Linked DNA regions of Drosophila melanogaster. The main gene of each other region encodes a partner of the protein of the gene in region 2 in a complex. Each region holds a gene or a part of one and is shown on either strand. Other genes may lie near its edges. A codon is read from its position in the direction of its gene.

Region 1 (8,077 bases), 2.7 Mb from region 2:
TTTCGTGTAATTGTGTATATATATATTTCTTGCATTCCGCTACAACATTTCTGGCTCCATTGGCGTCGCTGGATGCCATTACAATAATATCTCATTTCGCATAATAATATATGTATATTACACGCAATCTAGACACAAACTGTTGAGCAAATCAAACAGCTCGGATTAACTTGGTTAATCGCGTACAAAGGCAAATCATAAAGAACCGTCTTTGTTCGATGCACAGACTTCTAAAGTTATTCTCCATTTTCGCTATAATTCATTGTTTTGCTTGCGTGACTACATGTGTAAAACATTTTGCCTAGAACCGAAATACAATGCAAATAAGGCAGATTAAACATTTACATCTAAGTGGGTTTCGAATCGAAGGGATTGCAGGTATGCGTGTGTTTGTTTCTGGTGGACAGACAGGGAAGACGATCAAAATGAACAAGTTGTATACCTAAATCGTACGAGAATATCGCTATATATAATATATATATATATATCTATATGCGTGTGTATAAATACATAAGTAAACGGGGGCTAATCCCCGCGAGCATTCACAATAGTTTTCATCACACATCTAGGTCTGATGGTGTTCGCCGCCACTGGGACTGCTGTTGGTGTTGGTGTTGTTATTGGTGTTATTATTGTTGTTGTTGTTGTTGGTGGTGGTGGTGCTGGCGGTGGCACTGGTGGCACCACTGCTGCTGGGCGTCCGCATCACGATGCGGGACAAGCTGGTATCGCTGAGCGAGTAGATTTCCGGCTCAAAGACAGGCGGACACTCCATATTTGGATAGTCCGGCGTTGCCGCCTTCGAATCCACAGATCCCGAACTGGACACTTTTGGGGTGGCCGCACACTCTGATATCGTTGCCTCCGCTTGCTCCTCCTCTCTCTGCCTGCTGGTGTTGACGGGAGGCGGTGGCGCTGGGGGCAACGGCGGCTGCAAGCCCTCCGACGAGCACAAATTAGTGGTCGAGGTGGTTAGTATGCCAGGTCCACGGTAACTTCGATATCCCGCCTGATTGTGCGTGGGCAGGGTGATTTGGGAGAAGATCTCCTGATCGCAATCGGGATCCGCACTGCTTGGTGGCGTTACTGCCTGCTGCTGATGGTGATGGTGCCCGAACAGCGTGCGATGCAGCAGCGGTGAGCCCAGGAAACGATTCTCCTTGGAGGGCTTCGCCGGCGTGCCACCCGATATGGAGAGTTTCGAAAAGATTGGTATCGGGGCCGAGTTCTTGCGATGCGCATCGTACTTGGTGCCCACTATCTTGTCTCGCAGATCCTGATTGTACGTCTGGCTTTTCTTGATGCTGCTGCCGCTGCCGATTATGGTGACTCCATTGCCTACGGCTCCATCCAAGGCGTGATTCGATTTGGACTTCTTGTTCAGCGGCAGCGTCATAGTCATCGCATGACCCGGCCCACAGCCACTGCCCGCGGAGCCAGTTGAGTGCTTGGAAAAGGGAAACCGACGATCGCCGCTAGACTTTCCTTTGGACTTCTTTTGATCCGCACCGGATCCGGAACTCTTGCCGCTGCCGCCGCTGCTGTTCTTGTGCAGGAAACTGGAGAGCTGTAACTGCTGTGAGCGCAAGAAGTGCTTGGCCTTGCTGCTATGTTGCTGCTGCGTCTGCTGATGTTGTAGCTGCTGCTGCTGTTGCACATGCTGCAGGTGGTGCTGGTGATGATGATGATGATGGTGGTGCTCTTGCCGGCTGATGGAGCTAGTGCTCGGCTCATCCCCACATATCAGCTCGTAACCAAAGTCGCGCAACTTCTGACCTTCCTTAGTTCTGGTTCTCTTAATACTCTCGTCGTCAGGCTTAAAACTGATCTCGTAGTCGGGTGTTTTGGGCAGACTCACGCTCTGGATCTTGGGCAACTTTTCCAGCGGCTTTGTCACGCTGCTGCTCATGGCGCTCTGCTGACTGGCCGTGGATTCCGTCCGTGCGTGCTTGTGCTTCTCCACACCCAAGTGCACTCGATTGTTGTACATTTCCTGGGCCTCCTCCTCCTGTTTGCGCAGCATCAGATCCTTAAGCGTCACAAAGCCCTGTATATTATGGCCATGGTCGAGTGTATTACCCACACTCATCTTGGGGAGTAGTGTTTTCGAGGTATGGAAATCGAATTCCACCAAATTCGGATTTGAGGCGTGCAAGAAGTTGAATGGTGCCTTCTTCAAACTCGACTTGCTACTGGGACTCTGGCTCTGGCTCTGACTTGGACTCTCCTCGGAGCTCTGATGCTGCAGCGATGTGGGAGTGGCTGTAGGCGTGGGCGTTGGCGCTGGCGACGCGGGCGGACCCAGAATCGAAGCAGATAATGATACGGCAGACTCGGTTCCACTGACCACCGAACTCCTACTTGAGCTACGCGACAGTTTAGGACCCACCAAAGGTGGAATCTGTGTCGGCGGCATTGCGGGATCATGGTAGCCCGGTGTATTGGCACCAATCTGAATGCCAAAACTTCCGCCTGGCACCTTCCTATAGCTGCGGTATTGCTCCGTTGGCACAGGGATGTCGCTCGACGGTTTCGCTGCACTGCTCTTGAATGTATTCGTAAATTTGCGAAACGAGTCCAAGTAGCCGCGTTCATGCTTAATGGGTGCAGAGGAAGGTGGTGTTCCGCCAGATAGTGTCATCGACATGGACATTGACTCCTTGTTGCCTTGCGGCGAGGGCGTGCTTAAATTCTGGATCACAAGGGCATCGCATTCCTCGCCTGAGCTATCGTTCTCCGAATACAAATCCTTTGCGTCACCACCGCCTTTTGAACCCGTACTAGGCGGCACTTTGAGCGAAGCCTGGCGCAAGAAGTCCACCCATTGGTTAAGTGCGTCCAGCGACTCGGCCGCAAAGTAGAAGCTCTTGGCCGTGTGGTAAACTTTAAAGGCATGCGGTTTGGAGTGCACTTCTTTTGCCAATGAAACCGTAAAGCCCGGTAAAAATATTACCAAGCTGGCGCTGGTACTCTGCTTACTGCGAAATCCGTACAGTATCGTATCCAGCATCACGAAATAGATTCTCGCCCAGTAAGTCACTCCGCGATGATTTTTCTTGCGCCTGTACAGATGACCTTGGATATCCCCAGTCCCCAACAGCTTGAGATTTGTGTTCCGCCGCTTGGCCATTAAGCTGTGCTTCTTTTTAAGGGTCAGTGTCCGGGATTTGCTGGGCGTATGAAGCTCACTGATCTCCGATGGATCAACTGCGGCTGGTACAGGTACTGGCACGGGAATGGAGATACTGGTGATACTACTAGCCGGCTGCATGCTGGCTGGTTTTGGTGGAGGTGGAGGCACCGCCGGTGGCGTCATTTCCCTTTGCTTGCGGGGTCGCGGTGGCGGTGCTGGCGGTGTGACAAGCAGGAACTCCTTTCTTGGCTCAATCGCTGGCGGCGTATCCGATTCTTCACCCGAATTATCGTATGCCGGAGTACTATGACTCTTGTCTAATCGGCCCCTTCGACCTTGCTGCAACAAAGGCATGTTAATGGCCTCGGCCAGGGGCAAGTCCTGACCTTTTGTAGCCAGATTAATTGCCTCTAGGAGCTCCTCTGCGTTTTCTGTTTTGCAGTTGCGCAGCGTTTCCAAGGCGTCCTCGTCTCCCTCATCCGCAAAGGGAATCGGTTCAAAGGTCTCCAGTATGGTGTTCTCAACGTTACAGATAAATTTTTCATTCTTCATCACATAATCTTCCTTGGCGTCGAACCGAACTACTTTGCTGACACCCGGCTTGTAACGATCCACGAGGAATTCGCGCTGCGAGTCCTCCGTCAGCTGCTTTAGTTTTCGCGCCTCATGAAACATTCGCCTGGCCTTGTCCGTGGAGGTATCGCCCGCAATCCCAATGCAAGTGGTCGGCCTTGCTGCCATCTCTAGGCCATAACCGAAGGATATCGACTTATCCCGTATACTGGGCGAGCCAGGGTCGCAATTGGTGGGCGAACCAATTCCTGGCTTTCTTTCGTGCCACGATGGAACGACTAGATCCGAGTTTTTCAGGCTAAGATACTCGCATCCACAAATAGTGTTTCTTCGTTGGAGCAAAGCTCTTGGCTTTGGGTAATACAAACGGATCTCCCGTGCGGCTAGCTTGGGATCCGTTGGTGTTGGAATATCACTGCAACTGGAATCAGAGTCGGAGGCAGAGGACACTGGATTGGCCTTGGTAAGTACCTCCCTCTTCTCACTGCTTAGGGATTTACTGGGATCTGGCACCGCGCTTCCTGTTCCTCCTGTTGCCAGTTGCTCCGTGTCCAGGGTTAAAAATGCAGCACGGGGACTTGGCATCTGTGCCGCCCAGCGGGCGGCCATATTCCTCTTCTTGCTGGGCAACCTGTACGGCTGCATATAGATCTGTCCAAACATCTTTGTGTGCTTCGGCCGTTTCTTCACCGTCAGCACCACATCTGGAAGTGCTTCCCTCAGATGCTCCAGTACTGTGCGATGCTGCCAGCCCACAACGGTCTGGTAGTTGATCTGCACAATCTCGTCGCCATCTTCGATTTTTCCGGAATTGTGAGCTGGCGAGTTGTACTTGATATCCGTGACACGGTGAATGCCATTATAACTGGACTCTATGTTGAAACCCAACTCGGATTCGCGTTTTTTAAGGGTGACAAGGTTCAGAGAGGCTGGCTGCAGTACCATGGGATCAGATATGTCCTGGATTACAAAGTTGGCAAGATTCTCGAGCCGTTCCGCTGACTGTCGAATCGCTGGCACCGGCTGCAGGGCAAAACGATCACGGTGGGCAATTGTGGCCAGCTCCAGGCCGCATTTGAGCACATTGCCACAATACTCGCGGTACATCTCCTGCTTACGGAACGGTGTTCGCTCCAGGCTGCCCACCAATGGCTTTAGAGTAGCTATCGTCCTGGTAATATCGTGCAGTATCCGGGTATCGATCTTAGTGCTCTCCGCATGATTCCTGGCCAGTTCGCGATGCAGATTCTTAGCTGCCGTGGCCACATGCAAGGCCATGAACTGCAGATTGTCGTTTTTCAGGTGATAATGCTGGAATATCAAGCTCAATTAACGGGTTTGTATGTCACAATATTTGTTTGGGGTCTCACGAAGTTTCTTAAGTTCTCCACCGCCTCCAGCACGATCTCCTGATGGCCAATGCGCAGCATGCCCAGATTCTCCAGCTCGTATGGCCGTATGTTGAGCAACGCCCGTCCGCCGATCTCCTGCTTGGAGAACTCGTACAAATACCCCTTCATAGACTCATCCAGACCTGCGAGAATCAGGAAAACATAATTATTATGATGTGCCTGTTGAAACCTTGAACAAAGCGGAAATTCTTGTTGCACTTGTTGTTGCTGCTGCTTTTTGGGGCAGTGGCTGCGAGATGCAGTTTTTTTTTTCTCAGCTGCGCTTTCCTTGACCTCGAGCATTACCTTTTATCCAGTCGGTGACCTGGTCGGGCGTCCACTCGGCGATGTTGATGTAGGCCATCGCTGCTGCTGCTGATGATCCGCGCTGGGCCGCACCTACGGCATATTATCAATTCGTGCTGCAAAAACACTCGAACCAAGTTCAGAATTGCTATATTGTTGCGTCTCTCTGGTCCGGAGTGACCATCTTTTAGAGCTCGAACAATACTCGGTGCTCGTTAAATACTATCGAACTAGCGTGGCAATCGATTATTTAATGCATTTTAAAACTGAACAAAATGCAATTTATTCAAAGTTTCTTTAAGGGACAGAACAAGAGGAAAGAAAACTATAAATTATGATACTACTACATACTACTTTCTCCATCCAAGATAGCCAGGAAACAGCCACATGTTTCTGTATGTGTTTATTTTTATAGTCTTAATTAATATGAATTTGGCTTGCAGTGCAAGAGAGTAAGAGTAACAGTTATCGATAGAGGACCAACAAAAAATAATCGAATTGGTAATTGTCTCATGTTGATATATTTTCCGAGCACTACCGCTATTTACAACCTTTTATTTGTTAGTACCTAAAGATCATGTTGTAAGCTAATCTTTTAGAAACCACAAAGTTTTATGTAAAATATTCACTTATATTGACACAAGCTCGAAGTAATAATTATCAAACATTTAAAAACCCCGCTTCGGATTTAGCCATTCACATTCGAATTTACTGCAACCCAACAGCCAACAGCGCTTCGCAACACTGTCGCCGCCCCAATCAAACAGCTGAGCGCCTTGCGAATGGAATTGAATTGCCCCAAAACATATAAATAAATGCCTCAATGACAGCATCAAATGGAGATAAACAAGGCAATGAGCGTCCCTCCGCTCCAGTGCCTTTCCCCAGCTGACAATTAGCACTTTACTTGACCATTCAAGCTCGGGTAGATGTATACATATGTATGTATACGAAGGCGGCGCACGTTTTTCCAACGCAATGCCTTCAGAAACGAATCAGTCACTTGCTCGGAGAGGGAGAGGCACGACGAAGTAAATCACCGCGTGTTTTTTTCTAATCGCTGCAACTGGCTGCTGCAATCACTATTCTCTTGTCGAAATGTCTGTGACCCAGACGAAACAAATCAAGTTCTACAACCCATCGAGTTCCGCTAGCTCCGACAGGTAACGAACGACTTTTTAATGCCGCATTAATTCACGCACGGCCAAAAGTAAAGTGTGAAAATCCAACAGAAGTCATTAGAATGTGATACACACTCACACACACACCCGCGCACAAACATATCTAAAGAGCATGTGCTCCAAGTCATTCATCGTATGTACGTACGTACCTACTTACATGTGTGCGTCGTGGGGCCTCTAATCACGCAATATAAATAAATGCTGGGAAAATGGCATAGGGCCTGCGTTCGCAAACACCACTACATGTGCAAACGCATAACATGTGATAAATTCAATTTCGATATAGTCGCCGGTTGCATCGGATCGGAAGAGAGTGTGAGAGAGAAGGCAAAGCGAACACCCTGCGAGAACAGTTACAAGCTAGGGATGGGCGCGTCAGCGAGTAACTTGTAATGTTGCAGTTTGAAAAAATAATATTCATACCACAGAAACATTATTAAAATAACTTTGGTGCGATCCGTGGAATGCTATAAAAAATTACTTGTGTATAAGTATATGTAGCGTGAAATATTTTATGATTTTATGCGCCTAAAAATTAGAATATTTTTTTCTCTAACAAATTAAATATCCTTCACTTAACAAAAGTAAAAGAGACATTTGTTATGCAAATTTGGCTAAAATGTAGAGCACATCTTCGACTGAGTCGTGTCACGCCAAACCTCATGTACCACATGCCCACCTCTATGAAGGCTTGCGACAACAACAATGCAGAGACGACGCCGGCAGAGGAAACCGCAGCGCAGCGCAGCTTTTTAACCTTAGCTGCCTTAACACTTTTTCTTGTCATTCAATCCCCAAACGCCGCTCACCTCGCACTTCTCGCTACACCTTTGGCTTAATTTTTTGTTTTCATTAGTTATCGAATAAATATTGGCCGCAACGCAAAAGGTGAATCGCTGCGTACGAAATAAAAACTCTAAATCACATGTGATCCACGCCGGCGGCGATTCGCGTGAGCGTTGTGTGAGTGAGTGACCCATTTTGGCTTGGCATCGCCGGTTGCTGTGTTCTTGCTGCCTCCACATCCAAGTTCTCACGCCCACGCCGACGGACTGAGTGATTCAAAATCGCTGGCAGATCGGGATCGGGCTAAAAATGAGCAGCATCACGTTTTTGTGCAGCAAGTCGGGCCACAACACCAACAACAACAGCATTAATAGTAGCAATAACGATGTTCCAAAAGGGGCAAAAGCGAACTCAGCATTTGCAGCCGCATCCGCCGGTTTACTAACCATCGCAAACCACCAGCAGCAACAGCTACTTCAGCAACCACATCAACAGCAGCAGCAACAACAACAACAGCATCATCAGCAGTCAAAGGTTAAGGCTATAGCAGCCAAAACCAATGGTCACATGTAATTCATTGCATTTTCCCCATTTCTTAACGTAAAAACCAATCGAAGTCCCATTTTACATACCAGACGTTCATATATGTATGTTTGTACATTCATTTGTAGAGAGGCATATTTGTGTGTGTGTGTTTGTATTTGAGT
Region 2 (3,463 bases):
CAAGTTGCTAATATTCTGTCTCCAATGTACTAAAAAAAAGTTCAATTTTCAGCAATGAGAATCCTTCTTCGTCAGTTGCTGAACTCGCAAAACGAAGCCAACGAGATCCAACACAATCGTTTATCCCTGGAACGCGAGCGCCTGGACTGGGAGAAGTCTATGGGCGAGCGTCTGTTAAACCTGTTGCCAAGTCTCATGCAGCCGCCACCTGCAGCCTCGCCATGCTCCACGGCTCAACGTCTTCAGCCGCCCAAGCTGCTCTTCACAACTGCTCTGCCAATGGGCAATGGCACCGTCACCATGCCGCACATCCTAACATCCAATTCGCTGCCAAAAGTGATTACCACTTCAAGTTGCAACAGCGGCGTGGCAGTGGCCGGATCAGGAGTGGGCCTAGTAGCCAGTGTGGCCCCCAAGCCGGTAGATAACGACGTCCAGTTGATTTCGCCCAAGCTGGAAAAGGAGATCTGATTAAGAGGAACTAGTCGTTATAAGTGATTGATATTAGAAACACACTTAAGTGATCTCAAAGAAATGATATTCTGGTCTTTACTTTAGTAGACTCTAAAACCAGTATCCTAATAATAAAAACCAAAGAAATCTCTCATTCTAGGGTTATTTTCATATTTAAAATGATGGGCAATAAGCAATAATTAGTCAATATTTAAATTTAATCTAGAATTTTGCGCTCTTATATATTTGATTAATAGCATACATGATTGTCTAATCTAAAACCAGATATGGCGTCTAAGAATCTTAAAAAGAAAGTTTACAAAATACGCATTAACTATTCTCCTATTACAGCAAATAAAACGAGTATATCGTGACCCTAGTAAATATTGAGCCTTTCCATATCCCGGATTTCCATGATATCCGTCTTCAGTCGCTGCTTAACGATCTCCCGCCAAATGGCTTCCCGATCCCGGTTGTCCGTCACGCCCATTCTTTGCAGTGAGGAGTCTGTGATCCGGAGTAGAGCCCTTCCGGTTATATCGTGCTGTGTACATGGAAAGAAATTAAACAAGATCAGTAGGCAGTTATAGTGATGTCTAAATTTTAGCAAAAGGTAACCGGGAATTTTCCTGTTTGTGTTTTGAGGTGCTGAAATGACGGAACTGCTGAAGGAAAACCGTTCCAACGAGGCTCGACGGTAAGTGAAGTAGATCAAGGACTACGATTTGGATTGTGGGCTCAACTCACCTGGGCGAAGAGCTGCTCATACTGGGTGTATTCACCGCAGTGGCGGCGATACCACTTGAGCACATCGCTAACTGTCCACAGGTACACTGCCTTCGGTCGCGTAGTTTTCGTTCTGGTTTTGTTTTGCGTTGAGTTAATAGTTTCTTCACCCATTTCACAAAAAACAAATCGAGAAATTTAAGATTTATTTGCAAATAGCAACAAAACAAATAGTGATGGTAGCTAGGCGATATTAATTAGGTGTGAGACAAGATATCGATTACAGTTGTATTACTGTAATGTAAATATAAAAAAATGTAAATTAGGGGTGACACAATCGGCCGATAAGTTCCCTAATCCGACTGATTTAAATCAAAGGTATAAACGATATCCTAAGAAATTCACGAGTTGTGTGCGATATATCGACAACAAGCACTAGTACGACATTCGTGGCCTATCGATGCCCGCTAAGACTCGCATATCGAAATCGCACCAGCTCTAATCGTGACTGGCGCTTAATAACAACGACCGAAAGGTGAAAAAGTCAGCATTAAACACGTAAATACGCAATCAATACACACCGGAAACGATCGAACACAAAGAAAAAATTGTCGCATTGCTAGTAGCTGAGTTGAGACAAGCTTAGTTGATTGATTGATTAGTAAATTTTTGAGTTGAGCGCCCCCACATCTCATCTCGTCTCGTCCGAACACAAATTTCAAGTCGCAAGATGGCCGGAGCAACACTTTTCGAGCGTGCCCAGGCATTGTCCAGCGTGAATCGCGAGGAGCAGGATAGTTCGCTGCTGAACAAACTGGTCCGCGACCAGGAGGGCGCCGAGAACGATGAGGAGCGCATCCGAATCAAGGAGCAGGGCATTCTGCAGCAGGGCGAGCTCTACAAGCAGGAGGGCAAGGCCAAGGAGCTGGCCGATCTCATCAAGGTGACGCGTCCGTTCCTCAGCTCGATCAGCAAGGCCAAGGCGGCCAAGCTGGTGCGTTCGCTGGTGGACATGTTCCTGGACATGGACGCGGGCACAGGCATTGAGGTGGGTTCTTTTTTCACTCATTGACTACTAGAATTTACTAGAAAATTCTTTGTTCGATCTCTAGGTTCAATTGTGTAAAGACTGCATTGAGTGGGCCAAACAGGAGAAGCGCACATTTCTTCGCCAATCGCTGGAAGCTCGTCTGATTGCCTTATATTTTGATACTGCTTTGTACACGGAGGCCTTGGCTCTGGGTGCCCAATTGCTGCGCGAGCTGAAAAAGCTGGATGACAAGAATCTGCTGGTGGAAGTGCAGCTGCTGGAGAGCAAAACCTATCACGCACTGAGCAACCTGCCCAAGGCTAGGGCCGCCCTCACCTCAGCCCGCACCACGGCCAATGCTATCTACTGTCCGCCAAAGGTGCAAGGCGCACTGGATCTTCAGTCCGGCATCCTACATGCGGCTGATGAGCGTGACTTTAAGACCGCATTCTCCTATTTCTACGAGGCCTTTGAAGGATTCGACAGCGTGGACAGCGTCAAGGCCTTGACCTCGCTTAAATACATGTTGCTGTGCAAAATCATGTTGGGACAGTCCGATGATGTCAACCAGCTCGTCAGTGGAAAGCTGGTAAGTTATTAAGTGCAGTCCGAAATAAGTTTGCGTCAGCAGTTGTAATGTTCTACATATACATATTATGTAAATGAATTATTATCTAACAACCAAATTGTTGTGTAGATTTAATCAATTTATCTTACAAATATAATTGTCATTACCAGGCTATTACCTATTCGGGCCGCGATATAGATGCTATGAAATCAGTGGCTGAGGCTTCACACAAACGTTCCCTGGCCGACTTCCAGGCTGCCCTCAAGGAATACAAAAAGGAGCTCGCCGAGGATGTGATTGTGCAGGCGCATTTGGGCACGTTATACGACACCATGTTGGAGCAAAACTTGTGCCGCATCATTGAACCCTACTCTCGTGTGCAGGTGAGATAGATTATAACGTCTTGGCTTGTTTGCCCTCACTAAAATCTGTTTTTTTCCTATTGGCAGGTCGCCCATGTTGCCGAGAGCATTCAGCTGCCCATGCCGCAGGTGGAAAAGAAGCTGTCCCAAATGATCCTGGACAAAAAGTTCAGCGGCATTCTGGATCAGGGTGAGGGAGTACTGATTGTTTTCGAAGAGACGCCCGTGGACAAGACCTATGAACGCGTGCTGGAAACCATACAAAGTATGGGTAAGGTGGTGGACACACTGTACCAGAAGGCTAAGAAGCTGTCGTAAGCGGTG

Evidence for each region. Proteins that work in one complex are often made in the same cells at the same time.
Region 1: the proteins of ave (region 2) and cnk are in contact, whole or in part, in a crystal structure (PDB 8BW8), measured with the Drosophila melanogaster proteins. Residues at the interface, in NP_725413.1 of Drosophila melanogaster: Tyr24 (codon at 1,284), Gln51 (codon at 1,203), His52 (codon at 997), Asp53 (codon at 994), Ile54 (codon at 991), Arg57 (codon at 982), Ala58 (codon at 979), Arg61 (codon at 970), Ile62 (codon at 967), Thr63 (codon at 964), Ser66 (codon at 955), Arg69 (codon at 946), Met70 (codon at 943), Glu79 (codon at 916), Trp82 (codon at 907), Arg83 (codon at 904), Val86 (codon at 895), Lys87 (codon at 892), Arg89 (codon at 886), Leu90 (codon at 883), Lys91 (codon at 880), Asp93 (codon at 874), Ile94 (codon at 871), Glu96 (codon at 865), Ile97 (codon at 862), Arg98 (codon at 859), Met100 (codon at 853), Glu101 (codon at 850), Leu103 (codon at 844), Asn104 (codon at 841); in NP_001286524.1 of Drosophila melanogaster: Pro47 (codon at 5,160), Glu51 (codon at 5,148), Leu56 (codon at 5,133), Arg57 (codon at 5,130), Ile58 (codon at 5,127), Gly59 (codon at 5,124), His60 (codon at 5,121), Gln61 (codon at 5,118), Glu62 (codon at 5,115), Leu65 (codon at 5,106), Glu66 (codon at 5,103), Glu69 (codon at 5,094), Lys110 (codon at 4,912), Ile111 (codon at 4,909), Asp112 (codon at 4,906), Thr113 (codon at 4,903), Leu116 (codon at 4,894), His117 (codon at 4,891), Ile119 (codon at 4,885), Thr120 (codon at 4,882), Arg121 (codon at 4,879), Ile123 (codon at 4,873), Lys127 (codon at 4,861), Val130 (codon at 4,852), Glu134 (codon at 4,840), Arg139 (codon at 4,825), Arg145 (codon at 4,807), Cys148 (codon at 4,798), Gly149 (codon at 4,795), Leu152 (codon at 4,786).

What each region holds. Positions count from the first base shown.
Region 1 is NT_033778.4:17,414,008-17,422,084, forward strand, and holds the start of cnk (connector enhancer of ksr), read right to left. Parts: upstream 6,001-8,077; 5' UTR 5,462-6,000; coding exon 5,404-5,461; intron 5,241-5,403; coding exon 5,077-5,240; intron 5,018-5,076; coding exon 566-5,017; 3' UTR 1-565. Other genes in the region: l(2)k01209 (lethal (2) k01209), read left to right, coding at 7,680-7,939.
Region 2 is NT_033778.4:14,750,480-14,753,942, reverse strand, and holds ave (aveugle), read right to left. Parts: upstream 1,423-3,463; 5' UTR 1,354-1,422; coding exon 1,201-1,353; intron 1,151-1,200; coding exon of another isoform or gene 1,107-1,150; exon of another isoform or gene 1,033-1,106; intron 998-1,032; coding exon 830-997; 3' UTR 674-829; downstream 1-673. Other genes in the region: CG10151 (uncharacterized protein), read left to right, coding at 53-471; Rpn6 (regulatory particle non-ATPase 6), read left to right, coding at 1,107-1,150, 1,903-2,227, 2,292-2,798, 2,948-3,160, 3,227-3,457. UniProt on the Drosophila melanogaster protein: Required for normal photoreceptor differentiation between Ras and Raf for EGFR signaling in the eye and for mitogen-activated protein kinase phosphorylation. Probably acts together with Cnk to promote Raf activation, perhaps by recruiting an activating kinase.